Linked DNA regions of Drosophila melanogaster. The gene in region 3 interacts genetically with the main gene of each other region. Each region holds a gene or a part of one and is shown on either strand. Other genes may lie near its edges. The genes, in order: Hayan, spz, Spn27A and PPO2.

What was found.
Region 1: of Spn27A (region 3) and Hayan, changing one suppresses a phenotype caused by changing the other (phenotypic suppression), as found in Drosophila melanogaster (one study listed by BioGRID).
Region 2: of Spn27A (region 3) and spz, changing one suppresses a phenotype caused by changing the other (phenotypic suppression), as found in Drosophila melanogaster (one study listed by BioGRID).
Region 4: of Spn27A (region 3) and PPO2, changing one enhances a phenotype caused by changing the other (phenotypic enhancement), as found in Drosophila melanogaster (one study listed by BioGRID).

Annotation. Positions count from the first base shown.
Region 1 is NC_004354.4:18,478,283-18,486,234, forward strand, and holds Hayan (hayan), read right to left. Parts: upstream 5,491-7,952; 5' UTR 5,159-5,490; intron 4,362-5,158; 5' UTR 4,355-4,361; coding exon 4,273-4,354; intron 4,208-4,272; coding exon 4,027-4,207; intron 3,852-4,026; coding exon 3,075-3,851; intron 2,947-3,074; coding exon 2,879-2,946; intron 2,851-2,878; exon of another isoform or gene 2,784-2,850; coding exon 2,512-2,783; exon of another isoform or gene 2,447-2,511; coding exon 2,260-2,446; exon of another isoform or gene 2,203-2,259; coding exon 1,856-2,202; 3' UTR 1,701-1,855; downstream 1-1,700. Other genes in the region: psh (persephone), read right to left, coding at 6,367-6,713, 6,772-6,955, 7,014-7,297, 7,363-7,472, 7,531-7,714, 7,781-7,856. UniProt on the Drosophila melanogaster protein: Serine protease which, by converting prophenoloxidase 1 (PPO1) into its active form, plays an essential role in the melanization immune response to physical or septic wounding.
Region 2 is NT_033777.3:27,063,298-27,072,257, forward strand, and holds spz (spatzle), read right to left. Parts: upstream 6,774-8,960; 5' UTR 5,913-6,773; coding exon 5,847-5,912; intron 4,199-5,846; coding exon of another isoform or gene 4,061-4,198; intron 3,903-4,060; coding exon 3,825-3,902; intron 3,588-3,824; coding exon 3,311-3,587; intron 3,184-3,310; coding exon 2,802-3,183; intron 2,735-2,801; coding exon 2,557-2,734; 3' UTR 2,506-2,556; exon of another isoform or gene 2,392-2,505; coding exon of another isoform or gene 2,263-2,391; exon of another isoform or gene 2,139-2,262; intron 2,026-2,138; 3' UTR 1,791-2,025; downstream 1-1,790. Other genes in the region: Nep5 (neprilysin 5), read right to left, coding at 1-94; CG43935 (uncharacterized protein), read left to right, coding at 2,263-2,391. UniProt on the Drosophila melanogaster protein: The activated form, spaetzle C-106, acts as a ligand for the Toll receptor. Binding to Toll activates the Toll signaling pathway and induces expression of the antifungal peptide drosomycin.
Region 3 is NT_033779.5:6,669,969-6,676,416, reverse strand, and holds Spn27A (serpin 27A), read left to right. Parts: upstream 1-3,069; 5' UTR 3,070-3,241; coding exon 3,242-4,585; 3' UTR 4,586-5,352; downstream 5,353-6,448. Other genes in the region: cort (cortex), read left to right, coding at 46-177, 243-657, 716-1,087, 1,146-1,295, 1,355-1,617; CG34310 (uncharacterized protein), read right to left, coding at 1,892-2,111, 2,189-2,358; cup, read right to left, coding at 2,103-2,116, 5,904-6,448.
Region 4 is NT_033778.4:9,041,761-9,048,493, reverse strand, and holds PPO2 (prophenoloxidase 2), read left to right. Parts: upstream 1-3,784; 5' UTR 3,785-3,873; coding exon 3,874-4,857; intron 4,858-4,912; coding exon 4,913-5,008; intron 5,009-5,066; coding exon 5,067-5,828; intron 5,829-5,884; coding exon 5,885-6,097; 3' UTR 6,098-6,233; downstream 6,234-6,733. Other genes in the region: CG13743 (uncharacterized protein), read left to right, coding at 1-27, 157-318, 468-580, 645-836, 1,746-1,988; Ance-4, read left to right, coding at 6,407-6,448, 6,683-6,733. UniProt on the Drosophila melanogaster protein: This is a copper-containing oxidase that functions in the formation of pigments such as melanins and other polyphenolic compounds.

The DNA.
Region 1 (7,952 bases), on a different chromosome or scaffold from region 3:
ATTTAATATGCATCTAATTTCATTATAGGATACAAATAAATTGTCTTTTTAAAAGCCAACTCTTCACTCTTTAAACTTTATGTTGTTTGCAGTTTGGCATTTTCAGCTGCATTGTTTCAAATGAAATATAAGAAGATTTCATTCCATCCGTTTGAGATAGATTGTTAATGAAACATCAGGAGATTTTATATTTCACATGAGTTAAGTAATTATAGTCATAATAAATAATAATAATAATATTAACTATAGTAATAATGCTAGTTATTATAGTATAATAAATATTTCAAGTGATAGATAGTTTTAAATTTAATCGAGATATTAAAATGTCACAGTTTTATTATTCTAAAAAAAAACTATTTTGAACTAGTATAAGCTTTCTTTTTGAAATTCTAATAGTTTCTCGATTCTGAGTAGCACTGTTTTATGGTATTTCACCTCGCTAAGCGATTTGCGCCCATTTCCCGGGAATGCTAAAGGTAATTCCGAAATCCCGGCGAGAATGCCAGGACATGGCTCATTTGTCAAGTTGGCTTAGCCAGACTTAGCCGATTTGCTGGATGCGCGGGGGCGGGGTGTCAGGAATCGGAATACGGAATACGGAGCACGGAATACGGAGTACGGAATCATTAGTCCCGGTGCCTTGGCACCTGTTGTGTGGTCCGCGTGCGCCTACGCCCGAGTCCGGGCTGTGTTCGAACGGATCAGGAAACGTTATCGCCGGGCACGATGTGGAAACAGATGTGCCGCCGGAATCAATTTCCCACCGTGTTAGTACATGCCACCCAAATAGATAGTGGCTATACATATGGTGGGTGGACTGGGCGTACGATAAACACAGTCACTGTCCATCAGATAAGCACAAGCACACAAAGATCGACTTACATTTACGATTGCAACTGTTTGGTGGAAGTTTCAACTTTTTGGGGTCAGGTCAGGCCGACGGACTCATGAATTCGGGCGGTGGTCACTCAAAAAAAAAATGTAACAAAAATAAAAGTAAATAAACAAACACGACGCGAACTCGGGACTTGTGTTAGTTCAGTTTAGTTTAGTTCGATTCGGTACACTTCAAACGCCTAACGGTAATCGTGTTCAAATTCCAACGGATTCGAGACTTTATGTGCGTTAGGAATGCACCTTCACCGCTGAGCAGGCAAACCGACAGCTTCGCAGTCTCGCGACCAACTGAAGCCCGAGGAGTCCTGGCAGCGCCATTTAAGCAGCTCCCACTTTTGCTGCCCGCAGGAGTGCGGCCTTGTGGGGAGAGCGGGGGCTGGTTTGCTGCGAGCGGACGGGGCCAGTGGGTCGGTGGGTGGTGGGTGGTGGGTGGTGTTTGGCTGGCTGTTTGGCCGCAGTAAGCCGGCAGCACTTTGTAACGGCGGCGAACAGCTGACTGCAAAAGCTCAGTAAGCAGCTTTTGTCGCAACTTTCGAATGCCACACCTGGCAATGCCGCGCGCAGCGAGCTTTTGCGCTCTCAGTTCTGTTTACGTACGAGCGGGTGAGGCGCAGACAGCGATAGTTTGACAGCTGTCCCGAAACCAGGGCTGCTGCAAAACGTCAGTGGGTAAAGTGCTTGGCACTTATGATACCTCTTAGTTGCCTCAGATGTTTGAATTTCTATTACACTATTATACTACACTATTATACTACACTATTATACTACACTATTATATAAAATAAAATCGATTCTAACATTTTGAGGAACTGAATGAACAACCCTTATGGCTTCTTTAATGACACTCACTGAATTGTGTCGAACTTTGTCTAAAGACAAAATACCTTTATCAAACACTTTTGATGGGAAACACCATCCGATCCGTTCAAACTAAATTTATTGCAGATCAAATGACGCCTCAGAAACGATTCGACGGCCACACGATACCCTCGATATAGTCGAGAAAGGAGGAGACGCGTGTGTAGAGGCCCGGGGTCTTGGTGGCGCAGCCGAAGCCCGAGGAGATTACGCCTACGATCGAGTAGGTGCCGTCGACGTCGTCAATCTCCAGGATGAGAGGTCCACCGGAATCGCCCTGACAGGCGTCCTTTCGCTGATTCTTGTCCGCCGCGCACAGCTGCGAGGCAATCACGCCCCTTCTCAACGTCCGGTTGGCACTCGGCTGTTCCGCAAAGGATGCATTGCACTCGTCGGCCGGCACCAGATCCAGAGCCGCCCGCAGCAGGATCTTTGATACGGCACGATCTGTAAAGACACCATCGAACACAATCCAATCCTGCAGTTTACGCACACACAACTTACTGGTCACATTCATTACACCCCAACCGGCGACGAAATATTTGTAGTTCGCTGGCGGATCACTGCGATCCGTGTAGAGACAGGCGGGACGGATGACATCGGACTCCTTGGCATCCTCGGCCAGCTGCAGAATGGCGATATCGTAGTACTTACTACTGCCGGAATAGTCCGGATGAATTTGAACATCAATCTGCCAATGGAAGTGAGTGAGTTCAACTGGTTATCTCGCACCATGTGTCACATGGCGATACCAACCACATTGATGTCCTGGTAGCCCGGCTCGGGATTTTCGATGTTCAACGCACCCAGACGGACGAAACTGGGTGTGCTATCGTCACTATTGACGCAGTGAGCCGCTGTGAGGACGAATCGACTGGCGATGAGCGATCCACCACATCGGAACGCTGCGCTCCCGAAGGAGTTGTACGCAATGGCCGCCATGTGGGGATAGACGCCCCTATCCACCCGTTCGCCGTCCAGAATGTGCACCGTCAGGGGCTTTCCACCGGATCGGATCTTCTCACACGCTATCATCAGATGATAGGAAATTTAATATATATTGTATATAATATATCTCCAAAGATATTTTCATATAAAATATTCCAAAGAATGCGCAACTCACCTGCCACCGACGGTCGCTCCTTCTCGGGAAGATTGACGCGGGAGGGATTGGGATTGGGCGTCGTTGGCCTGCGAAAGACAAGGTATATCAGCGATTAAAATTGGGCTCACGATGGTTTCCACCTGAGACAGAGACTGCATGCGGCTCCCTGGCTGAGGCCAACTGATGTCCATGCCAAAAGAATGCTCAGACAAACCGCGTCTCGGCTGGATTGAAGATGCTGGGAGCTGGATCCGCGTCTAGATTATTGCTGACATCGTTCCAGGGTTCCTGGGGCTGGGTATCCTTGTCTCTGTCCTGGCCCCGAAATCGGTAGGGTTCAAAGGGATCGATCAATTGCGTGGGCGTGGGTGCGGGTGTGGGCGTGGGCGTGGTTTGCAACACCATGGGCACTTCTCGAGCAGGCTCAATCTGCATTCCCTGCTCCCGCAGCCGATCGTTGACCAAATGTATGAGGTTGTTATTATTGGGGCTTGGATTGGTATTGAAATTGGAATTATTCGGTCTTTGGGGTCGTGATCGAGGCGTGGTCAGTGGACGGTTCACAATCCGTGGCTCACGGCCCCACTCCGGTTCCATAAAAGATCTCTGGGTGCTTGCAATGGGTTGAGTCTTCGAAGGAGCTATGCCCCAAGCTCCAACGCTTTGGATGGGCAACTTCATGGGTTCGTGTGTGGGCAACTTCATTGACTCGTGAGTGGGCATCTTCATGGACTCGTGAGTGGGCGTCTTCATCGACTCCTGTGTGGGCAACTTCAAGGACTCGTGGGTTTTCTGCGGCTTTACTGTGGTGCTTAGCAGCTTGTTGAAGTCAAAGAAGTTCTGATTCTCGTCCAGCCGACTTTCCCGCTCCCTTTTCCCCTCGGTGGTCGTTGGAGGCAGTGGCTCCGGTTCTGGTGTTGGTTCCCGCTTGGGTTCGGGTAAACTGCTGCGCTCGGAGCTCGTAGCATGGAATTGGACCTCACGACCTCGACTGTGGGAGTGAGAGGTGTTAGTCTGGCGTTGGACGCCGGTAACCGGGGCATGCAACATCGGTGGGCACACAGCACAAGCGGGACACACACAAACACATATATATGGTGCACAAACAGGAGGACAAAAAACAGGACAATAGAGCGCAGAGGCCAAGGAGACAAGGACACGCTTACTCAGTGGCACAGCAGGCGACGGTGGGGCAGCAGATGATCTCCTCGCGGGCGCCAAAACCACAACTCGGCACCTGGCTGGTGGACAGCGTGCCCGACTTCAAATATCCTCTGATGTTCTCGCAGGCTGAGGAGGAGAGGCAGATTCCCGGTATGTCCGACCTCACCTGGCAGGGATCGCCCTCTGCAACGAGAAATGCGGCCAGCTGGCAAGGATCTAGTGTACGCGCCGCAAGACATCCTACATACCATCCCCAACTGTTACATACGCAGAAGTTGTCAGCACCAGGAGACCCAGAAGGAAGTACCTTCTCGCCGAGATCATCGCCATCGGTCAGCTGAAATTCCCAAAAGCATTAGTGAATCCCATTCTACTTGGTAACGCTTATCAGCCTTATCAAAACCGAAAATGGAAAACATCATTTTCACAACAGGGGAAGCCCTCGTCGAAATGGTAAGGGAAAAACAAACGAGATCTGTTTCTTTCAATCGACTCGACTTTCAGCTGATTAAACCGATCCACATCCACTGCCATTGACCCATTTACGATTTTTTTTTTTTTTTAATATGGGAACACCACAAAAGCATTCTCCATATGAACTGCTCGATTGTAGTAAGCCAGACTTGATTGATTTCATTTGAGAGACTTTGTGTTGATGGAAAGTTTGTGTTTGCCGATTACGACGAGCATTTCACCAGCAGCGCCGCCAGGTGAGATCAGATGATTCATGGGAGGCATGCCGCTGGGATTTTACCACCGGCTAAAGACGTGTACTGCCAACTGATATCGCAGCTACGTCGGTAATAACCGATACGAAAGTAACACCTGACAATTATGCTGCTCAATTGAGCAGAGAGTCGTCAATGTGTCTGCAGTTCAACTGAATCATATATATCCGATTGAAGCAATGCAAAAGTGTCATGACATCACCTGTTATCGGCCCAAATGAAATTGTATTAAATAGGTATGCGATTGCTAATCAGCTTCCGGCCTTCCGCAGTAATTGCCCATTGTAAACACGACGAAATCAAAAGTAGAACATGCAATACATAGCCCCACATCCCCACATCCCGCAATCCCAATGTCCATTGTCCACTGTTCACTGTACACCGACGTCCGCCTTATCGAACGCACCTTTGACACGACCTTTTTTCGGTCTCTGATAAGGGAGTAGTACGTCTACGTATCGATGTCGTTTATTGAGTGCGTCGAGCACTGTGGTGACTATGGCAATCGGGCACCGCACAATACAATACAATTTAATTCAATACCACATAAACAAAACAAAATCCAAGGGAATTACGAAAAAAAAAAATAAAAAATAAAGAAAAAAACACCGCAAAAAGCACACCAGCAGAGTCAATAAAGCTAAAAACCGGTGGCTATCACAAATCGCGGCGGTATGGAATCTGCTGGCTATTTTCCCGGCTCTGACCGCTCAGCAACGCATCGCCCAAGCAACTGAAGCCAAGCTTCTGAGCCCCAGCTGGAGCTGGAGCTGGAACCGATGAGGCCCATTTAGACGTCGACCAAGAAGCGCCGGACCCAGCAGCTGATAGCACCCAGAGCCGATCCTCTCCCGCTGAGCGGCGAACCGGTTTCCCATTCCACCACTTCGCAGAATCGCAGAACGATCCGAAGCGATCAGAAGCCAGAGCACACAAAGCACAAAGGCAGCCTGTAATTAGCGAGTGGGTAAGCAACAGGCGAGCGGTATGGACTAAAGGATACCGCGTAAGGTCTATGCTGCGCTTGGTGACCCCGATATTTACACCTTTAAAAGTCGAGTATAATTGTGTCACAGAATCGTGTTTTAGAACTTACCATATATATAGTTTCAATTGCAGTAATCTTGTTTTTTTTTTTTTTGTATAATTCTTCTCTAATTAAAGTGGTGACCCAGATACTTACTTTCTTGCCTAGGTTGCGACCTAGGTGGTGACCCAAGAAGTCCTTTTCAACTTATAGTCTGAAACATATGCTTAAAATTTAAATTTCTTATGACAAATCTTTCTGAAATAAATGCATTCTGTTTGTATTTCCCCATTTTTTTTATACAGTGCAGCAATTCAATAAAAGTGGTGACCCAGAAATCCCTCTAAAATTAAACAGAACCAGAAAAATCACTTCACAGAGTTCTGGAAACCGAACTGCCAGAAATAATATTGTACCGATTGATTATATCTTAAAACGTATCTACTTTATTGGTATTAAATGGTTCGATCGCGGTGCTCATAGAGATCACAGATGAGTGTTTGCCAATTGCGATGGATCAGGCAGTCCTGATCCCAAATAGAAATAATATACATACAAAAAAAACAAAAACTTTACTTTTCCCAACTTTACACCCGATTGTCCGGCCAGACAATGCCCTCGATAAAGTCCAGATAGGACGAGACACGCGTATAGAGTCCCGGTGTGACGGTGGCGCATCCGAATCCCGACGAGATGACGCCCATGATGGTGTACATGCCGTCCTCCACGTTGAGCTCATGAATGAGCGGCCCACCGGAGTCGCCCTTGCATGCGTCGGCGATGAGCTTTTGATCAATGGCGCACAGCAACGAATCGATCACGCCCTGCTTGAGCAACCTTATGGAACCGGGCTGCTCCGCATAGGATATATTGCATTGGTCCAGAGGCACCAGCTCCAGACCAGCGCGCAACAGGATCTTAGATCGCGCCCGAGCTGCGGATGGTTAGCCATTAGTGGAAGTGGAGGATATGGAACTTTTTGTGCTACCCACTGGTTACATTTAGGACGCCCCAACCGGCGACAAAGAACTTGGAGTTCGATGGCGGATCGGTGGCATCCGTATGGAGACAAGCGGGCCGGATGTTATCCGTCTCGACGACATCACGTTCCAGTTCCAAAATGGCGATATCGTTGTACTTATTGCCCACATACTGCGGATGGATCTTAACGCTTCGCTGAGATATGGTATCGATCAGAATGGCTATAACTTAATGCATAAGCACAGTGACTCACTATGACGATATCCTGGTAGGAATGGTCTGGATTTTCAATGTTCACAGCTCCCAAGCGAACAAAGGCCGGCGTATTGGCATCGGTGTTGACACAATGTGCGGCGGTCAGGACGAAGCGACTGGCGATTAGCGATCCGCCGCATCGGAAATCGGTGCCAAAAGTGATGTAACCAATGGCCGCCATATGGGGATATACACCCGGATCAACCGGATAACCGCCCACGATGTGTATGACCAATTGATTGCCGCTCCTCTGCTGTTTTCGCTCGCGAATCTTCTTGCAGGCTATATCGTGGGATTGGAAATAAGTAGAGGAACTCTAGGAGTGATCTGATCAAAAGAGTAAGCACCTGCCACTGCTGGGCGATCACCGCTTCCGAACGTGGGCACATCGACACGACCACTGGTCATTGGAGCTTTTGTGCTTGTGGTGGAGCTTGTGGAAACGCTTGTTATGGTACTGCAAAGGCAAACAACCCATTTCTATGTGATCCCAATGGAAGCAATTCGCGGATTACCTATTGTCACAGCACGGCTTGGTGGGACAGCAGAAGATCTCACCCCAAGCGCCGAGGCCACAGCTGGGCACATCGTTGAGCGTCAGGACTCCCGACTTGATGTAGCCATCGATTAGGGGCTCACAATCGGAGGATGTTCTGCAGATACCGGGCATGGTATCCGTCACCTTGCAGGCCCGACCCACTGAAACAAACGCAAGATTCGAGTCGGGCAAATACTTGATGTGACCTGGCTGAGATCGGAACTCACCTGTGACGGCTGCTTCCACGGAGGAGCAGCTGATGAGCACAAAAGTGCCGAGTAGCAGGGACCACTTCAATGGCATCTTAATTCGCTGCAATTAATGGAGAATGTAAATGAATGAGCTTCGCCATGATTTTCTGATTACAATAAACCAGCAGCCATTGACCAACTTATTGAG
Region 2 (8,960 bases), on a different chromosome or scaffold from region 3:
GCAGGGGCAACGGCTGCTGCTGCAGATTGTCGCCAAAGAAGCCATGGTTAATGTTGCCCGTGGTCCAGATGCGATTGCGATCCTCCATAGTCATGTCATGAGTCAGTCCAGTGGAAAGCCCCTGATTATTGCATATTGCGTGTGATTTTTCTGCTCTTTTAACGCAGTCTGCCGGTGATTTTCCTAGACACTTCGGGGCATATCAATGAGCCGCCGGGTGATGAGCCTTTTACGAATGCACGTCACAGCGCCCACATGTTGCGCTGACGCAGGGAATAGTTGGTGACCAAGTGGAAACGGTTTATCGGTTTTATCGTTTGCTCATTAGCCGGAATGTTTGCCTTTTTTATCCGCTACTGCCAACAGTAGGCAGTTGCATAATTTGGCATTATGTGGGGCCGAAACGAGAGCTGGAGCTAGAACTCTGGAAAAATCGACTCGAAGTGGAGCCAGTGCAGCGGTTGACTGGTCTAAAGCAGCGACTACCGGCGTATTGGAGCCCGGGCGTCGTCAACAGAACGTATTTATACCAGCCAGTCAGCCAGCAACCGAATAACAACAACACGGCTGGCTGGCTGGCTGGCAATGGCAATAGTACTACCAACAAACAAATCAGGCAACCCCCATTAACTCCTTCGGCCATGCAAATGTGCTGCGGCAATTACGAGCCACCAATGCGACCCACTAGCCCATCTCCATTCCCACCCAAAAACGCCGACACTGTCTGACTGTCCTGCATGTTGTCCATATCCTTGTTTTTAGTTCCATTGTATCCATTAGGGCTAGGGTCGCTCCGTTTCGCGAAATGGTTTGTAGCTAATATACAGCAATATTATATATGGAGCATTACTTAACAAATGATTTAGAAGTAATTAGCACCGATAACGCAGGCGTACTTAATATACAGATGTGTAAACGCTGACTGTGATTATGTATTAAACGTGCACCTTTGTCGTGCAACCTGACTAGTATTGCTAAGTGATTAAGGTATTAATCTGAGGTATGCGGCGTTCGAATACAAGTTCCAGTGTATTTCCACAGTGAATCAGAACAGAACACGAAGGGACGCCAAGTGACCACAATCCGCGCAACGGAGCCAGTGGCGTAATGAGAAAAAGTACATTACAAAGGGCAATCCAAACTCTACGATTATATATATACATATATAAAATCGGTGGGCGGAGATATATGGATAGTTGCTAATTGATATGGACGCGGCTGTGTGTGGCTGTTGGGGATGTGCATGATTGATGACCCTGGCCAATGCCCAATCGACCAGGGCACGACACTGGATTTGGCCAAACGGGAAGGATACCTAATAATAGTAATTAAATTGTGGCACTTTGCCCGCCCACAACGAATCCACAAGCATTCGCATTGTTCGGCCTAACTTTGACATAGTTTATTGTGTCTGGGAATCGATAAATACTATTGATTTCCACATGTGCCAGCGCCAGCACCTCAAGACACATCGCGCATACGCCCCGCTGACAGTTGGAAAAATCCAGCGCCAGGAAGCCGAAGTCGATGCATGTTATCCTTTTGCCGGTGAAAGCCAACCACCACCCCTTTGGGGGAATGTGTTTACACTCACTAGGGTGTAATTGGTTTGCGCAGCGGGGCGAACCGAATTATTGTTAATAAGCAAATAAATTGTCCACCAGGTACTCGCTGATGGGTTCAAAGAACTTTACTTTGCTGGCATGTACTTGCATACATTTATTATACATTATCTTTTTTTAACATACATTTTTCAAATCGTTATTTCTATCTTTCTTGTTTTTTTTTTTGTGTTTTGTGTTTTGTTTTGTTTTTATTCTAGGACTAATTACTTGCATTTCTAGCTTAGGCATTAGACGTGGAAGTCAAAAATGAATATATGACACGAATATGGTTAAAATGACTCGACTTAAAGCTCTAAATTAATATGCACATTGGTCTATGTGTGGATTCAGCAGATTATAGAATAAATCAATGACCACTGATCAGTTTGGCCTGCCATTCTGTGGTGGGTGAAACTTCTTGCTGCAAAGAGAAGAGATACAATTTATATTTTTGGTCTAGTTAACAAGGAAATAATGTCAATGAAGCTGTATACATATTTAGAGTTGTAGTCTCAGTCTGAAAAGTTTGACTCTTCGAATCACAAGAAACATTATTCTTGAATTTAAGTACAATACTTGATAAAGCACAGTTCGAAAATCCGCATTCGAACATATTTTCAAGACTTCTGAATTGCAGACATTATACTATCTCATTCCGATGGATCGCGTCGTTGGCAATTTCGAGAACAAGTTTAAGCATTTGGTGAAGGCTGAAAGCAAGGGAATGGCCCTAAAGCTGGTGGGATTCTACGCCGTCGGCTGGACCCTGCGCAAGTTGGTCAAGTGAAGCGTTCGCCTTAAGTCGCAAGGATTCATTGAAATCCTCTACTTCTTGGTAGTCAGTCGTTTCTGTTCTGTACCTATTTTTAAAATTTAATGTACGAATAAATCGTGGCCTCACCTCAATATCACATTGTCGCAGCCATCGACTGGAGAATCCCATTTTCCAGAATCACCCAGTCTTCAACGCGCACTTGCAGCAGGAAGGGATCTTGAAGGAATTCTGCACCACGTCCAGTTCGCCATCACTTTTGATGCTGGCCAGGGTCTGCTGTGTGTAGTGCTGCTTGCAGATTGGATTATAGCTCTGCGGAAAGTTGGCGGCGAAGTCACAGGGTTGATCCGCTCCTCTGGAAGGGAAGGTTTGGCAATTAGCAAGGCTAATGGAATATATCATAGATTCAAGCTATAACTTACTCGCACTCTTCGATCTGGATGGCCTGTTTGTACTCATCGTTATTGACAATTAACTGCCAGGTGTCGTCCGCCCTCAAGCCCTTTTTTGGGTACACCAGCTTCCTGATGCTCCTGCAAAGGAATCGCTCGTCTGAGCCACCAACGCGAGAGCTCACATCCGTGGGCTGAAGATCGTTGCTAAAGAACTTGGCAAAGTTGTTTTTTAGCTTATGTGTGAGGCCTGAAAGGTCCGGATAGTCGTCCACATTCGTGCAGAAGTTTCTAAGGTGTTGGCTTTCATCCTTGGCGCAGGGATTGTGCTCTTTAGTGTCATTCCTCAAAGGACGAGCTGGGGATTGTGGTGGCCGATACTTGGCTATGGGGGAATCGGGGAAGACAAAGGCTAAAATTAGGCAAGCGCCAAAGGCAGTTGGCCAGTGAGTATGGGATCGATTTAGTAGTTAGTTGTAAGGCATGTTTGGGTATCGAATGTAACTGAGCATATATAGGCTAAAATACTTAGTACTTACTATCCGATGGATGTCGGGGGGGTATCGGCTGTTCGGATTGCACCTCCGTGTCCGTCCTCTGCAAAGATACGAACGTATCGTTAAAGACCAGATTCAGCTTTCCATTCGGGGAGCGCTGCACTTTGAAGTACTGATCTGGTTGGATCAGGCTGTGATACTGATGGTAATGGCGGTTCGTTTCGGGTATCGGAGATTGATTCTGATTCTGTTTCTGTTTCTGGGTCGGATCGTCGTGCTGGGTGGGTATGGGCATGAAGGGTGCACTGTCCGCGGACGTCTGTACGGGTAAAATTTACTCGTGTTAGTCTTTAGCCAATTGGCAAAAAAAGGAAGCACAAAGACAACACACAACCCAATAAGAAACCAAATGAGCAGTGAAATGGGGATGCAATATAGGATGAAGAGTAGTTATAAGAAAGCAGCGCACCAATTCGTCCTTGAAGCTATGAATTGCGTTTCACATCAAAGACACATTTTACAGAGAAATCATGCATTTGCCTATGTATACACTTACATTAAAGAGGACAACTCCCTCATCATTGGTTATTGTAAAAAGCTCTTTGATGATACGTTCATACTCCTTGGCCTCGTACTGTAGCAAAAATGGCGAAATAAAAAGACAAGACAATAGACTTTAGTCTCGGTTCAGAAGTTTTGACCACACCACAGACAAATTAAGGCTATTAAGGTGTTAAGCATAACGATACAACTGGGTCTGTTTCGGGACACTCGGGGACACTGTGCTCACACCTGTAAGTGATTAGATGCTGACTTTCCGGGTCCGCCATTGTTAATGGTAGCCAAAAGGGCCTTATAGTCTGCCACTGTTTTCTCTGCCCTCACCTCGGCCTCGTGTCGCTTCGTTAATTCGATATTGATATAAACTATCTGAAAGATACAGGTGAGAGTTTTGTTTGCAGTTCATCAACATTGCCAAGACAACGGAGTATATATTCGTGGGTCGGTGCTCGGGCTCGTTTGTTTGTCAACCCAGACTTCTCTCTCTCTCTCTCTCTATTGTCGGGCACTACATTTGCGTATTCAAAAGGTTTGAACAGCTGTTTTTCGGGCAAGCGCAGTTTTCTCTCGCAATTCTATAGTTCCGTTGAGTTAGGACCCGAACCTATATACATATAACAACAGCCAGAGTCCAAAATCAGAGTTGATAATCCCCTCGAGAGTTGCCTCTAGCTTAGCAACTTGAAAACGGATGTCCCTCTTCCGCAAGCAATAAAGACTGAATAATTGGAAAATCTAAAGGCAAGCCGATCCTGAATAAAAATCAACATAATCCAACCGGAAGGTTATTTATATAAAAGAACAAGCCAATAGTTGCTTTTAATGTATTGATAATCCGAGGACCATAATTATGCAAATAGCTTGGCGATTTTAGAATTATCAGCACTTTTAGTGCTACTCTTTAAAATATTTCTATGTTATATATATATGTATATGCAGTGATATAAATAAGCCTTGATAATAGCCCCTAATCTCGTCAAGACTTTTTATTATGCTTAAATTCTTGAATAGAGTCCATGGAATCGTCAACAGAATTTACCCAAATTAAAATTGGGTCTCGACGAGCATGTAGAAAACCCGCTTTAAGGTGCCAACCCATCTGAACTTGATTGTCTGAGAACTTTTGCGATTTCTCGGAAATGTTTTTTCCCAATCAATTAGCAATCAACCTTTTTTTAAACGCGTTCATCAGTGTTTGGCGTAGACGCAACTAAGGCAAACATTGGATCGTTTTTCCATCACAGTTTTAGGTTTTCCGTGAACCTATTGGAATTTAGCTAGAACTGAAAACGATCTTTAGAACCGGTCCGCTGCGGAATTCGCGGAAAACCGGAAAGACAAAAGTTCTCGGGCGCTTTTCAAACGGATTTTCTAACATTCGACGCCATTAATACGAACTAATTGCTTTTCTCACAGAGATGATCATACAATTTGTCCGGCAGTAAATTACTTCCAAAGTCGTGTGCAGAATGTCTGGCATTGTTTGTGTCAATTAATATTATTGTAATGCCTATGATGTGCATTTATCATATAGAGAATGAAAATTGCACATAACCTGCCGCTGGCAATGCGAACAGGTTTTCTAGTCTGTGACTAAATTTAAACTTGAAACTGCCCTTCGGCTAATGGAACTGCTAGAACAACTATGGAAAATCTAAAATAAATCTTAATAGCTAAAAAGCCCATAGCCCGAAATATATTGCAATGAAATGACAGTTATGTTAAGCATAGATTAACACGGAACAGAAAAAAACAGAAATGCAGTCGAACTTTCATAACTGGAACAAGCGAGCACCTGTTTCAAATAAACAAAAAATCAAGTTCTGGAGTCTTAAGATCTTAAGTGCTTGTCTTAAGAAGACAAGGAGACTTTAACCTTTTATCAGATTAGATAGATTTGGAATAAATTATTGTTTCGACGCAAAGATCTTTAAATTTTAAAACTTTAACTTCTTTTGAAAGTTTCCCTTATGGAGGTTCGACTGTTTTGAAATTTGTAAAATTGTAAATTTCTCACCGTGGCAAAGAAGGCGAACAGCAGCAGCAGGACTTTGAACAGCGATATCCACATGGGCGTCATCATGCTCGATCTCGGGCTTAATCAATTGGATTTATAAATATATATAGATTCTGCGGACGGCGAACGTCTGCGTCGGGGATTAGTAATAGTATATAGCAGGTGATTGGCGGATCGGTGGCGTCTTATACCAATTTTCTTATTTCTACAACTTTGTTATTATAGCGCCGGCTGCTGTTGTTTTTTAGTGATCTGTGCGTTTTTTTCTTTTTATGGGCTTTGCGTATATAAAAAATAAACAAACTGGCACGACTAAATGTTAATGCCGGGCCTTTATACTGGTAGCTGGTGTTACTGTTGCCTCTTATTTATTTATAAATATTTTGTGCGGTGGCTCTGTGTGATATGTTGGCTATTCCGTTTTGTTTGTTTCCTTTGCACGTTTGCGAGACACACAGACAGACACTTCAATTAGTCGGTTTGCTTTTCACTTTAGTTTCGCTCTCGCCGCTTTAGTGGAACCGTTTTCGGATCGGTTCGATTTGGTTGCTCTGATGAAATGCCGCGATATTGATATCGTTTATAACCGATTTGGCTTGCAACTGGGCAATGGGCTATCCAAGTAGCTGATCGCAGGATATGTGAGTCTTCAACTTTTCGGCTCTGTGCGCCGTCTTTGAGTGACACGAAAAGCTCGAGATGAATGCGCTTTTATGGACCTCAAGCCCGATACCATCTGCCACCGATCTTAAGTGTTTATAGCGACGCGCGCTGGGATTTTCCGGTCAGATCGAGAGTTTCACCATATCTCCCGGGCATGCAGAGTGTTAAGCATTAACCAAGTTCGATTTCGACTGCGATTTCGATTTGGATTTCTCGCGATCGAGAACACACGACAGCGAGAGCGCACGTCTGGGAGGCAACTGAAAATGAAAAGTGGAGCCCAGAGGCCGCCGACTCGACTCGTCTGCTCCCCCAAACAATTGCTCAGTGCTTAAGTGCAGCTTTAAGCTAGCTTGCGAGAGTGTGAGCGGGAGCGGGCGCTGTGCGCGAGCGAGACGCCGCCGGTCAGAGGCGGTGGAAGCGGGATGGGTAGTGAGCGCGAGGGTCGTGCGAGGGAGCGGGACGTCTGGGCGAGCGGACCGCGATTTTATCACAGCTGACTCCGAGCAGTGCTACTAATTGCGCCTGCTTCACGAAAAACTTTACCAGTCGGAATTATCTGAATCATATTACACTTGGAGAAAAGTAAGTGCACATCAAACTAACACTATAATGACTAACGTTTTTAATTACATCTGTTGTTAAACCAAATACAAATCACTGGAGCTTTAAGAAGAATATCAAACCCTCAATTGTACTATTTTAACACATAAGTTAAAAACATACTTTCAAAAACTAATTCCATACAAACATTTTATTCATTCTAATCAGCATAGTTGCCATAAAGCTTTGCATAAAATGTACATATCGTTTGAGTGGCATTTGACACCAAAAATTAACTTCGTTATCGCAAAATTTTTTAAAACAAATATTACGAAAAAGTTAGAGCAGCCACAGAGTAATGTTTGGATGCCTCGAAGTCAGAGCTTTGTTATCTGCGGAAGTCAATCAAAGCTGCATTTTGGATGATTAAGTTTCCGTTTGAAATAATGAATACTGTACTTAATAAACACTTATGTACAAATTTGCCCTTTTCGTCGACCCATTTTAGTAATTAACTATTATCTGTCCGCTTGTTATTGAACATACGCGATTAGAGATTTATTGCTTTTTTATTAGGTATACTTAAAGAAGCAGCGATTGAATTATCACTTTTATTTAAATCCAGAAAGAAAACAAGTTTATAGGTAGCCCGAAAATATAGAAATTTCCCCGAGCTGAAAATAACCAAACTTTGTGGCAAGTGGGTGGTTGATTACCACCTTCTCTATCGGGCTAAACCCATGTTAGCCAAGTGTAGGGCTTCTCACAGTCGGTCAAGTTGACCTGTGAGAAGGTGCCGGCCAGCACTTGTTGCTGCTGAAAGTAAAAGTGGTGCCGGGCCAAAGCTCGGCATCAAAGCTCGCGGAGCACAACTGCTCTGCTCTCGGCACCACCACCAATGAAACTATCCCCACGTTGGAGCCCATCTAATATTTCTAACACATTTGATATTCCGAACGGGTGCCGCAAACGCCAGTTCCGTTGGCGCACGCGTCATGGGAGCCGCAGATCCGAATCGCTTAAATTAGCCCGCCAGTCGCCGCCTTGGAGCGTGCTGAGGCGCTTGGGAAAGATGGTGACTCAATTGGTATTTCCGAGAACGGCGGACAAAAAACCGCATCTTTAAGTCGCACACTGCAAGTAATCGCCATGTAAACGGCATCTGACGCAGTCGTGCCTGAATGGATCTACCTTGTGTGCTTATGTTTATGGCCCAAAGTGGATGTCGTTCGCCATGGAAAAACGGGAACTTCTTAGCAGAATGCATTTTACTTGGCCATATCTACTCATAGCATAGCCTTTCCCCCGAATTATGCACCAATGACTGAGTTGAGGCCATTTCGTAGAAACATCAGCTGCACTGTTGATTCATAAGAATTTCTTTATCAATTAGTACGTAATAAAATGCAATGAAGGGGGGCTGTGTAAGTAGATAACTAAATTGCATGATGATGCAATTTTGTATTATTGTAATGCCCATACATATCTGTTCTAAACAATCTAAAATTCTCAGAAATCAATTAAATCCTCAACTGAACAAACCATTTCAATATATTACGATTGCATCAAACTTGTTTAAATCTACTTGCATACTTTAGGGATCTATTAAGCTTGTGGTGCATATATTTAGGAGGTTTCCAAATTGTATTTTTATGAGCTAAGTTAATGTATATAATTTCAGCTTCCACTATCCTAAATGTTAATTTGAAATCCATTTAGCAGTAAAATTTTAAGTTAGCACCGCCTTAACTAACTTCATTAATTACTTTCAGCGAAACGGCTAAAGTTACAACTTATTAGTAAACATTGAATCATACGTTTGTCTGAGAATTGATACATTGGAAAAGGTCAAGACTTTTCACAATGTCTTGCAATAGTTGTAGTATGATTAACTTTGTAAAGCTTTGA
Region 3 (6,448 bases):
CTCAAAACAATTTGACCACCTAAACGTAGTTTTCTTTTCGCGCAGAGTGATACGAGCAAGGGGCAGGAGGTGTCCTATGTCGGCGAAAGATTCATACCCAACCGATTTGAGCGGGAGAACATCGAGTTCAACCTGAAGTACATTGGCAAGCGGAAGGAGCGAGATATCCTCGAAACGGTGTGTGCAGTACTTCTGGCTATATATACTTTCCATTATTAATTGAAAATGACTTTTACAATCAGGGTGTCACTTTGACCGCCAGCTACTGGCGACAGAGCGGCTTCATATCGAACATCAACCGAACCTTTGGCATCGGAGAGCGCCGCCTGTTTCAGTTTAGCAGCCAGCAGGGCACAAGATCCAGGGTGGTCGATAACGACTCCGCCGATTCGGACTGGCCATGTAATCCACGGGCGCGACCATATGCCATTCAGAATGCCACCCATGAGATGCCTGGCATATGCAGTCCCGTCGACTACAACATGATGGACTGGTCGTCCGGCGGCATGGTGGCCATGTCCTCCGGACAGGATGTCATGCTGTGGCGCAATCTGGACGAGAGCACCATGGTCTTCAGCGTCGAGTCGCCCACTTCCCTCAAGTACTCGCCGGATGGCAAGCACCTGGCAATCGGCTGCATGGATAGAAACTATCCAGGTATAACAGACCCTAAGCAATAACTTTGTAAAGCCCTAACCCTCCTCTTTCGTACAAGTTCTGGACCTCTGGGAGGTGAGGTCGCCTACGGAGTTCTTGGTCTCCTACCGCAAGCTGTTCTTCAAGTCCATGGGCTACATAAGTTGCATTGAGTGGTCCCACGACGGCAAAGAGGTCATCTGCGGCACTCAGTGCGGCGTCATCATCGTGCTGGCCATGCCCACGCTAAACACCCTGATGCAGTTGCGCGAGCATCGACACACGGTGAAGAAAATGAAGTTTGCTCCCACCCATAAGTATTTCGCATCCAGTGATACGGATGGCAAGATTTTCATCTTCGATGCGGTGCTAAAGGTTCGCCTGCTCAAGTTGGACGGCAGGTCCATAGTCTTTGACTGGCATCCGTGGACTGGAGAGGATTTAGCCGTTGGTAAGATAGTGGCAGATTAATTATTAGAGTATCTGCAACATGAATATTATCTTAACAGCGGAGCGAAGCCCTGCGTCGATCTTCATATTCAACATCCCGCGCCGACAATTTGTGGCTTCGTACAGGCGCAGGGATGACAGAATCGTTATAAAGACACTAACATACAGCAAAATCACGGGCGAGTTGCTGGTCAACGTTATTCGGCGTGGTGAGAACTGCACTGGATCCTTAATGCTTGCTAAAAATAATGTATTCTAATATCTACAGATGATGCGGACCTTGCAGTGTGCGAAATTCTGGTCTTGGCCTCCTTAAACCGCGTGGTTGACTTGATGTCCCATCAGGATCGCGGCACCCTCTTCCTGATGTGGAATCCGGATGGAACGAAAATTGCCACCGGCGGACTGGACGACACCTTTTCGCTGTGGAACTTCTTTCCCACCTATAAGCGCGAGGCGATATTGAGAAAGCAAGAGCAAAAGGCCAAGGACAAGTGCAGCTCCCTGAGCCTGTACAAAGGCATACGGTGAACAGAGCACAGTGATTTTTAATTGTTTATGTTTCTAGTCTTTTATTCAAACCATTTGTGCTTTTCATTATTTATTCAATTCATATTACTTTCATAAAAAATCCATTCTGTTTAACTCTAAAATGAACACAAGAAGATGGGCCTCTCCACCCAAAGTGAAGGTAAGAAAGTAAAAGTCCATTCATTGTTCACCATGTTACAGCGTTGAAATTTGGTAACTAATCACTAGGCTATAAGTATGTAAAGATGTCTATGACGGCACTGGCAGCCTTGGCTCAATATTCGCTCCGTTTGGGTCTTGACTCGCCAATCTGGGAGTGAACCTCCTGCTGGAAGAGGTACTCCGCACTGGCCTCGGCTTCCAGGCGTCGTTTCTCGAGAAGATAGGGTTTGATGACAAGGCGATGGGTGGTGTAGAATATAACAGTCGATCCAATACCGATGGCCATCAGACCAACCGTCGTTGTGGCGAATCTTTTGAAGCCGTTAATGAAACTCATCTGTGGGCGAGAACGGAATTCAATTAATATATGACTTTAGCCAGCAGATTAGGGTTTAGTGTGCGGGCTAACTTTGTGGTTCCACTAGTTTCAGTTACTGCTGGCGTTTCTGCCTCGGTTTTCTTCTCGTTTTTGTACTTCAAAATCAGCGGTTGCCAAATGTAAATACCGCCTAGCAGCCCAATGGCCGTGACCACCATCAATTGCGGAACAGTGACACCACGCGGACGACGAATTTGCATGGCACGTGCGGTTACTTTGGCTATTTATATTTATTTCTCATTAAATGCACAAGTTTCTTTCGCCGGCTGCTGTTACATCAACGCACCATGAGAATTTATTTCAGATCAGCTGTTTTGTTTAGCCGACACTTACCAACACTGAGTTCTATAATAGTTGTCAGCGTGGCCAGACTATCCCCGACACAACTTAAGCTTATTTGAAATTCAAATTTCTATTAATAGCTATTCATAAACTGGCTTGAGTATTTGCAGCGGGCGTGAAAGAAACTGTGACGTAGTTTAAGAATAATAACATTTGCAAACTTTCCTCTTTGATGACTATGCAATAATTCACAAATAGCTGAAGTGGGGAAAGCCTAATAAAGGCGGATATTGTTCGCAACTAATTTGTACAAAATAACAAAATAACATTCATAATGATGAATGATCCTTAAATATTTGTATAGGTTTTTTGGTTAATCCTGTCAATACAGGCATGGAAATTCTCTGAGTGCACTGATGCACTGTATAGTCTAGTCGTTTCCCTTCACTTCCCTCATCACTTAACCACACTCATCACTTTGCGATAATGACGTACGTATGCTTTGGGAGTCCCAACAAAAAAAACACACATGCGCTGCCCCGTCGACGCGGCAGCACAGCAGCAGAGGACGGCGTCAAGAGCGGCTTGAAGCTGGAGCTCGATTTTAAAATGGCCAGCCCGCTCGGCGCACCAGTCACTCTCAGTTGGAACGGCGCGTGAAACGGTTATCGCTCGCTCCACCGGCGCTCTCTCGCCGCTCGCCCCACCAAAGCCCGCATTTAACAGTTGTTTTGCTGCGAATAAGAGGCTGAAAGCAAAGACCCGAGGAAGATCGAGACGCAGAAGCTTAGGGAAGCACAGATGACAAAGATGGGCGGAAATTTGGCAGTGATGCTGCTGTCGCTGTTTTTGAGTGCGTTAGCCACGGGCAACGGCAACTCCATACCGACGACCACGACGCCCCAGGGCGTATTCGAAACCCGTACGGACAAGCTGCCCGGTGGCGCTGCCAGCGTGCCCAGTGGAGCGGGTATCTACGACGATATAGATACCTTTGTGCCCTTCCGGAGCGACTCGCACGATCCGTTCTCATGGCATCTACTGAAGACGGTGCTGCAGAACGAGACAGCCGACAAGAATGTGATCATCTCGCCGTTCTCCGTCAAACTGGTGCTGGCCCTGCTGGCTGAGGCGGCCGGAGCCGGAACCCAGACGCAAGTGGAGCTGGCCAACACGCAAACAGACATTCGATCGCAAAATAATGTGCGGGAGTTCTACCGCAAGACACTTAATTCCTTCAAGAAGGAGAACCAGCTCCACGAGACGCTCAGTGTGCGCACCAAGCTCTTCACGGACAGCTTCATCGAGACACAGCAGAAGTTCACGGCCACGCTGAAACACTTCTACGACAGCGAGGTGGAGGCGCTAGACTTCACCAATCCCGAGGCGGCGGCAGATGCCATCAACGCCTGGGCCGCCAACATCACGCAGGGCAGACTTCAGCAGCTAGTAGCCCCGGACAACGTGCGCAGCAGCGTAATGTTGCTGACCAATCTGATCTACTTCAACGGTCTGTGGCGGCGGCAGTTTGCCACCACATTCCAGGGATCCTTCTTCCGCAGCAAGGACGACCAGTCGCGGGCGGAGTTCATGGAGCAGACCGACTACTTCTACTACACCACCTCGGAGAAGCTGAAGGCGCAGATTCTGCGTCTGCCCTACAAGGGCAAGAACTCCCTGTTCGTCCTGCTGCCCTACGCCCTGAATGGCATCCATGACTTGGTCAAGAACCTGGAAAACGACGAGCTAAAGAGCGCTCAGTGGGCCATGGAGGAGGTGAAAGTGAAGGTGACGCTGCCCAAGTTCCATTTCGACTACCAGCAGAACCTTAAGGAGACGTTGCGCAGCCTGGGTGTGCGCGAAATCTTTGAGGACAGCGCCTCGCTGCCGGGATTAACCCGCGGCGCTGATGTCGCCGGCAAAGTAAAGGTGTCTAACATCCTGCAGAAGGCCGGCATTAATGTGAACGAGAAGGGAACGGAGGCCTACGCAGCCACCGTTGTGGAGATCGAAAACAAGTTCGGTGGCAGCACCGCCATCGAGGAATTCAACGTAAACCGGCCGTTTGTGTTCTTTATCGAGGAGGAGTCCACTGGTAACATACTGTTTGCCGGCAAAGTCCACTCACCCACCACCCAGAACTAAGCCTCTCAGGCGGTTTTATCTTTAAATACGCAATAAATATACAAACAAATGAGAGTCTCTGCGCTTCAGTTAACCTTAATATGATGTGAAAAGTGTTGCAAGTGGATAAGCTTTCTAATACATTTTGCTGAATCCTACAAACGAGAAACGAATCTGTGCTCTTGACCCCTTTTTCAGTAATCGTGCGTGGCGACGATTCCCCCAGCGAGTCGGTTCCCATCTACAGGCCACAACATTCCGCTGGCTGATAAAGCCACTGGTGCTGTCGTTAAATGTTTGTTTTTATATTTATGCCTCGCCCAGGCATGCCACGAACAATTGAAAGCAAAAGGCAGCAATCAAGTGAGAGATGCAAATACCTGCTAACTCTGGGAATGTCCCACGAACGTAACATCGGCAATATCCAATGGGGAGATCGATGGGTAACCGATTGCGCACATAGTCGACGGCAAATAGAACCCATGACTCAGGGGGCTGGCTGAGATGTTGTTCGACTGGGAAATCTTAAGTTTGCGTAGTTAGCCACGTTCTGGTGATCTCTTGAACAAACAAGGAAGCCAGCTAAGCTTGGGAATTTAAGCGCAGCTTAGAAACAAGTATATGATAAAGTTTGTTAGCTTAATACAATTCAATTGCTATTCATCAATGAAATCATTATAAAAGTCCTAATGTTTTCTAGGGCTAAACGATGTATTAACGAAAAGTGTAAACAAGGTCTATTAGTTTAAAAGAAAAAACATATATATATATATATATTAAGCTCGACTAAATGCCCTATCTCTCATGTTTTATTTATCTTTCTGATTCGAAACTCCAGCCAGCTCATCCTTGTAGAGGCGTTCAAGTGATAATCTGAATCAACAGCTTGTAAATATATCGCAGATGTGATCAAGTGCATTGCAAAGTGTGCAATGTTTGCAGTAACAAAAACCCGTTTACAGATAATACGTGAAAGTGGTCATCAAAGTGCATATTTGCTCTGCTTTCGAAAAATCAGCCTGAAAATTGACCGTCTGACTCAGACACATAAGCGAAATACCAAGAAGGGGAGGCCATTAGGCAGCTTATTAACTATAATATTACCGTAAATGATAACAACTCAGCACAAATGTAAAAATATAAATTTCCTCCCTTGGGTATTAACCCGACTTTTAGAACTATGACCATAACGCTGTCAAGAAACTACAAATCTAACTGTTATATGTGATGACTTTGCTTTCAAAGCACAAATGATAGGGTAAACTTAACGGAGAGTACCCACTGTACGATTGTATCATAATATAATAGATCTTCTAAATTAGGTACTAAAATGACTTACCCCCGCTGTTGGGCAGCATGGAAATAGCTGATTGAGCTTGCATTTGGGCCTTATTGAAGCTATTGACAGCTCCAGCGTTGTTCTGATGAAGCGAATTCAGCTGTTGGGGCTGCTGATGGGGATGTTGCTGCTGAGACTGTTGGTATTGCTGCTTGTACTGCGTGGCGAAGTGCGGCTGGTTGGACTCAAAAGATTGGAAGTTTTGGTTATCACCGAATCTCAAATTGGAATGATGCTTCTGCGGCTGTCCATTCATAGGATAACCAGAGGCGTGGTTATTGCCACCGCCAGAGATCAAGGCATGGAGCAAGGCATTCGAGTTGGCATCTGGTCGAGCCTGGCGTTGCTGGCCACGGTTTAGATATTGCTGCTGTGCCTGATGCTTGGCACCGCCATTGATAAGCTTCGAGGTCTGCTCCTCAATTTTTCGCTTCATTACGGCGTTTCGCATTATCACATTGGCATGCGCTTGCAAGTCCTCCTGCGACAGTTGGTGCGGCGCCTGCGTCTGTGGATTATGCTGCGGCTGCTGCCTGGCTGCAAGA
Region 4 (6,733 bases), on a different chromosome or scaffold from region 3:
TCCCGGCCACGGGCATCATGGTCTTCGGTGAGCAGAGTGTGGATTTTCCACTTGACTTTCCACTTGCCTTCCATATATATCCATATGCGTATCCCATCCATCCATCTATCTATCTATGTATCTATCTATCTTTTTATTGGACATCCGTCCGTGCAGCTTTCATGTGTCATCACAACACCTTCCTCGTTTATCAATCGATGCGCGACGCGACCATGGAGCGCTGGGAGAAGGTCACCCACATTTCGATTGGATTTGCCTGGACGGTGGCGGCCCTCTTCGGCATCGCCGGCTACTCCACCTTCCGCGCTCTTTCCCAAGGTGAGGGATTGACACAAATTGCATTTAATTGCAGTGACAGGCAATTTGTGGATGTTTCCTGTCTGCTGTTTTCGGCATTTACTATACTTGTAGTATTTACTGCTTACGACCGTTCCAATCCCGATGGGATTCGGCTTTCCTTCTTGCAGGCGACCTGCTGGAGAACTACTGCTGGGATGACGACCTGATGAACTTCTCGCGTGTGCTCTTCTCCATATCGATACTCCTGACCTTCCCCATCGAGTGCTTCGTGTCCCGCGAGGTGAGCATCCGGAATCGCAGAGCCAGTTTAGCAACATACTTTTATTTTGGGCCATTCCCCACAGATTGTGCGCGCCCTCGTCCATCGGTTCGTGCTGAAGGAGCCCATCAGCGAGTTCACCCAGGACAAGGACCCCAGCCTGGAGAAGGGGGCCATTATCGATGAGTACTCGAAAGCCATTACCATGGCCATCGTGTTCAGCGCCTTCGTCATCTCGCCCATGACCGACTGCCTGGGTTCGGTGCTGGAGCTGAATGTGAGTAGGATTTTCCATGTCCCTTATCCATGTTCGCCTAGAAAATGGGTTGGGTACCCTTGACCAAAAGAAGGCGTTTCTATATATATGTAAGAATGGTACCCATCCGATGAAATAAGAAACATTTAAAGTCTTACTTTAAAGTCTTTACTTTTACATTTATTTAAATCATTGCGACCATGTGCACTTGTAATCTTCTTTATACTTTCTTTCAATACTAATATTTTTTACAAGTCCACTTGATGTTTATTTATCCCACTTTATGACTTTGTGGTTTTACCTCAATACACGCGATAACTTAAATCCGCAAACTCAGCTGCTTACTTGTGTTTTAGTTTAATCACAATCAGCAAGAGTTTACCCAAAACCTTTTTTAATGTACAAATTAATCATTTATGTTCCTAGTTTCCGAAAGAACACATTTCTTATCATTTATAATGCTCAGACCATTTATCATCGAGATAACTTCGACTAAGCAATTTGCAAACTTAAAGATTATTTATTACGGTTTTCGTTTGCATTTATTTCCGAGTGAATATTTGGCCTAGATGAAAGAGAATAAATTCCAATTCCCAAAGTCCATATATTCAAGTAGAAAGCTATGCAACAAAGAATCCACCAAATGCTTCATTAAATACATCTGAGACTAATTCCGATTTCACCATTCACATTTGCCAGACCAAAGGGAGAACCGTATGGCCAAGTTTATTATTATCGTCCGTAGCCATTTGCCCCTTGTATTCCAGTCACGGGTATTGGCCACAACGCCAATCCCAAACGGCATCTACAAATTCTGGCCGGAACCCGTCTTTGTATTTGCCATGCAAATTTATGCCCCACCCATCAGCCAGCCCATCAGAACATCAGCCCGTCAGCCCATCAGTACATTCAACAATCCACCCATTTCAGGGTCTCCTGGCGGCCATTCCCCTGGCCTACATCCTGCCCGGCCTGGCCTACATTCAGATGGAGCCGCACGCCCTGCTCAGCCGGGAGAAGCTGCCCGCTCTGGGCCTGGTGGTCTTCGGAGCCCTGGTGACCATCTTGGGGGCGGCGGTGCTCCTGCCGGGTCTAATGGGCGGCGACTGCCGATCGGACATTGTGATGGGTTACTGCCGGCAGGAGTTTCAGAACACCACCTCCTCGAACTAAGTTAACGGAACGGAAGTCAGCCCACGATGTGGGGCGCGCGGGTTGGGATCGCATTTTTATGGTTTGGGTTTTTGGGTTGAAACTTCTGATTTGACCTTCGGTTAATACAGCTGCACCACGTCGCATCGAAAGAAACTTGTACCTGAGTCCCAGACGTTCAAAGTATCTGCGTAAGTAAGTAGTAGGCACAGTGTTGAATTGGATTAGTGGATAGCGGATAGCGGATGTGTGATACGGGCGAACCTCAGTACAAAGGCCAGGCATTCTCTCCGATCGAGTAACCCATGTATATTTGCACCGGATAGTCGTTTAAAGTGTACATTTCGTTGGATCCCCGTTGTTGATGTCGATATTGTTGAAAGTAGTGAAAGTTCCTCGATATATAAGTGTGTGTGTACTCCGTACTCTGTACTTTGAAGCCATCAAGTTGAGCAAGCGATTTGAATTGAATTGAATCGAAAGAAACGAGCAAAGGCAAACTAAACCGAACTAGAACTAGATGTTATCCGTAGCTTTAGCGTAGTCTGAAACTATTTGGGCACCAATATACACATGCAATCCTTAGAGACAACCGACTCCCCAAGTTGAGAAGTGAATCAAAATCGAAAACGAAATCGAACAAGTATTATATGTATGTACCGAGAACTATTTGTAACTATGTATGCCCCGACGTTACCGGATCGTATTCCCCAGTTTTATATGTATGTATATGTATACAAGGGTAGATAAAAATGCGCTTGAACCGAACTAAAATCAAACTACAATATATCCCCATCAACACATCGATTTGAACAACAGTTTTGAGTTGTTAACGGCACTGAATTCTGTTTTGAATTGCATATGTACACCGAACACGATCGAATATTTATATATACAGAAACATAGATATATTTTTGTACAACTCTTGGTTTATACTGCACGATATTATGTAAATACATGTGTATGCATTTTTGGATGTGATTAAAGTCTTTACACTCACACAAAAGCCATCACCTCTTACTTTCTCTTCGGGCTGAGAGATCGGAACCAAGCTGAAGACCCCACAACTCTATATTCTAAGAGCTTAAACACTACATATCATGGCCAAGGAACACGGGACATGCCCAGGGCTTTTCTGAGATACATTTTACAAGATCTAAACAACTAACCAACTGAACCTATCGCTTTTACACAACGAATACGAGAACGGAAACGGAAACAGCAGCATACAATTTCCACAGACTTCCTGTATATACACGCTATATATATGTAGATCCGCTTGTCGTACGATATTGCTCATCTCTTCACTCGCCAAATATCTCGTTGTATCTCTCTTTTTAGCGCTATGCTAAATAAATATATGTATTGTATATCAAAGCAGTAGTAGGGAATTAGGGACGAATTGATCGATTATAGCCGAATTGTAATAACTATTATTGCCGTATTATGCATGTAGCTACATATATATACATACTATTATATTAAATTGTTTAGATGTGATGCTATCTGACCGGAGGATCGTGTGCGTAGAGAAGTTTTGATTTACAACGCAGGCATATCCCAGAGATAACAAAATCCGATTTCATTCCAATAGTATATATGTATAGATAAGCTAAAGCAAAACCAAATGAAATACTCTTGAAATAATAAAACTGCATTTTAGAAATATGCTAAAACAACACTGCGGTTTCCATACTATATCCTTATCGCCGCAATTTGTCGACAATTTCAATTCTCAGGCGTTCTTGTGGTTTTCAAAACCGATACTAGTGCCTTCGAAGTTTTGTATAAAATGTGCAGTTCTTTCGGTGAATAGTCACAGTCGTGAAGTTCCCAGACTTCCAGTCACATTCCCCATTTAGTTTGCTCCGCGATCCAGCAGGTCCTCCCTGACATCCCATTGAAAATGGCCGACAAGAAGAATCTCCTCCTGCTTTTCGACCATCCCACCGAGCCAGTGTTCATGGACAAGGGCAAGAGGGTGACCGTGTTCGATGTGCCCGACTCCTTCCTGACCGACCGCTACCGACCCATCAGCAACGAGGTGCAGAGCCGCGTCGGCGACAAGGTGGAGCAGCGCGTTCCAGTCCGGGAGATCTCCATTCCCGATCTGCGGATCCCCATGTCCCTGGGCCGGGACGAGCAGTTCTCGCTGTTCCTGCCCAAGCACCGCAGGATCGCCGGCCGCCTGATCGATATATTCATGAACATGCGCTCCGTGGACGACCTGCAGAGCGTGGCGGTGTACGCCAGGGATCGGGTCAACCCGGTGCTCTTCAACTACGCCTTGTCGGTGGCGCTGCTCCATCGTCCGGACACCCAGGGCCTGGATCTGCCATCCTTCTCGCAGACTTTCCCCGACCGCTTCATCGACTCGCAGGTGATCCGCAAGATGCGGGAGGAGTCTTTTGTGGTGCAGCCCGGTTCCCGGATGCCCATCACCATTCCCAGGGACTACACCGCCTCCGATCTGGATCCCGAGCACCGGCTGTGGTACTTCCGCGAGGATCTGGGCATCAACCTTCACCACTGGCATTGGCATCTGGTCTACCCCTTCGAGGCCTCCGACCGCAGCATAGTGGCCAAGGATCGTCGTGGCGAGCTCTTCTACTACATGCACCAGCAGGTGATCGCCCGCTACAATGCGGAGCGGTTCAGCAACAACCTGGCCAGGGTTCTGCCCTTCAACAACCTGAGGGATCCCATTGCCGAGGGCTACTTCCCCAAGATGGACTCTCTGGTAGCCAGCCGCGCGTGGCCACCGCGCTTCGAGAGCACCAGGTTGAGCGATCTCAACCGGGAGTCCGACCAGCTGAATGTGGAGATTGGAGATCTGGAGCGTTGGCGTGATCGCATCTACGAGGCCATTCACCAAGGATTTGTCATGGATGTGAGTTGTTGGTGGGTTTTCCATTAACTAAATAACATGCCATATTCCCTTTCAGGAGCGTGGCAACCGGGTGCCATTGGATGAGGCGACGGGCATTGATACCCTCGGCAACATGATTGAATCATCCATTCTGTCGCCCAACCGAGTGCTGGTAATAAGTCCTTACCCTTAGTAAATTATTCTAGGGATTAATCCTATTGCTCCCCTAGTATGGTGACCTGCACAACAACGGACACACCTTCATCTCGTACGCCCACGATCCGACCAGCAAGCACCTGGAGTCCTTTGGCGTGATGGGTGATGTGTCCACGGCCATGCGCGACCCGGTCTTCTACAAGTGGCACTCGTACATCGACCGCATCTTCCAGGAGCACAAGTCGCGCCTGCCCGCCTATACCGAGAACCAACTAAACTACCCGGGCGTCTCGATCGCGGGCATCCAGGTGGACACCAATGGAGGTCGTCCCAATAATCTGACCACCTTCTGGCAGCAGTCGGACGTGGACATGTCCCGTGGCTTCGACTTCCTGCCGCGAGGTAATGTCTTCGCCAGGTTCACCCACCTGCAGCATCTGCCCTTCACCTATACCATCAGTTTGAACAACGATAGTGGTGCCCAGCGTTTCGGCTACGTGCGCATCTTCATGGCGCCGAAGAACGACGAGCGTGGCCAGCCCATGCTGATGCGAGATCAGCGCTCCATGATGATCGAGCTGGACAAGTTCGTGACTTCGCTGAACCCGGGACCCAACACCATCCGCCGCCGCTCCACGGAGTCGAGCGTGACCATTCCGTTCGAGCGCACCTTCCGCAACCTGGATGCCAATCGTCCGGCGGCCGGCACTCCGGAGGAGCTGGAGTTCAACTTCTGCGGCTGCGGCTGGCCCAACCACATGCTGGTGCCAAAGGGTCTGCCCGAGGGACTGCAGTGCGTGCTGTTCATCATGGTGTCGAACTATGAGAACGACAGGGTATGTTAGCTGGCTAGTAAATCAAGGATATTTTTGACAATTATCTCCACCTCCAGATTGACCAGCAATTGGTGGGTCGGTGCAGCGATGCCGCTTCCTACTGTGGCGTCCGTGACCGTCTTTACCCGGATCGCCAGTCCATGGGATTCCCCTTCGACAGGTTGCCCCGCAGCGGAGTCGACCGCCTGGTTAACTTCCTCACGCCCAACATGAGCATCGTGGACGTGAACATCCGCCACGAGAACCGCACCGTGCAGCGCCCAAACTAGACGATCCGCACCTGATTCGCTTTCCCGATTCGCCCTGACCCGATTCCATGACCTCGCCCACTTCTAGATATACAACTCTTAGCAATCTATTGCATCTTTATTGAGCCGCTTAATAAACAAGACATCATGGCATTCCACAATCCCACTTTTGTTCTCAATTATTGTGGCTCGGCCTCCGGGCGAGAATCTCTCGCTGATTAGGCTTATCAGCCGCCCGGGAGAAGCTTTAAATGCCAGCTCCACGGCCGGAGCACCTCAGTTCGAGCAGATCCGGTGTTGAGTGCGAAAGTGAAACCGATTCCCGAGGAGATGGGCCTGCTGCTGCTTCTGGTGCTGATAGCGGGCATTGGCGTAAGCACTGTACCGATTAAATAATCTATGGGTCCACAAAGATCCCACAAAAAGATGTGGTCTTTAGATAACTTTAAATCATAATTTTGCGTGTTTGAAATATGTTTCATTTAGATGCGTGTCAGTTTCTATATAGTTTGAGGATACTTAGAAGACCTAGACTAAACTAAGCCTGTAATAGCAATAATATTGTAAGTGAATTTGCTGCTTTTAATTGATTGTCATTTATTTTAGTGCGCAACTGCAGCAGCCAACATTGACCTGGAGGCCAAGACGTTTGTGAAT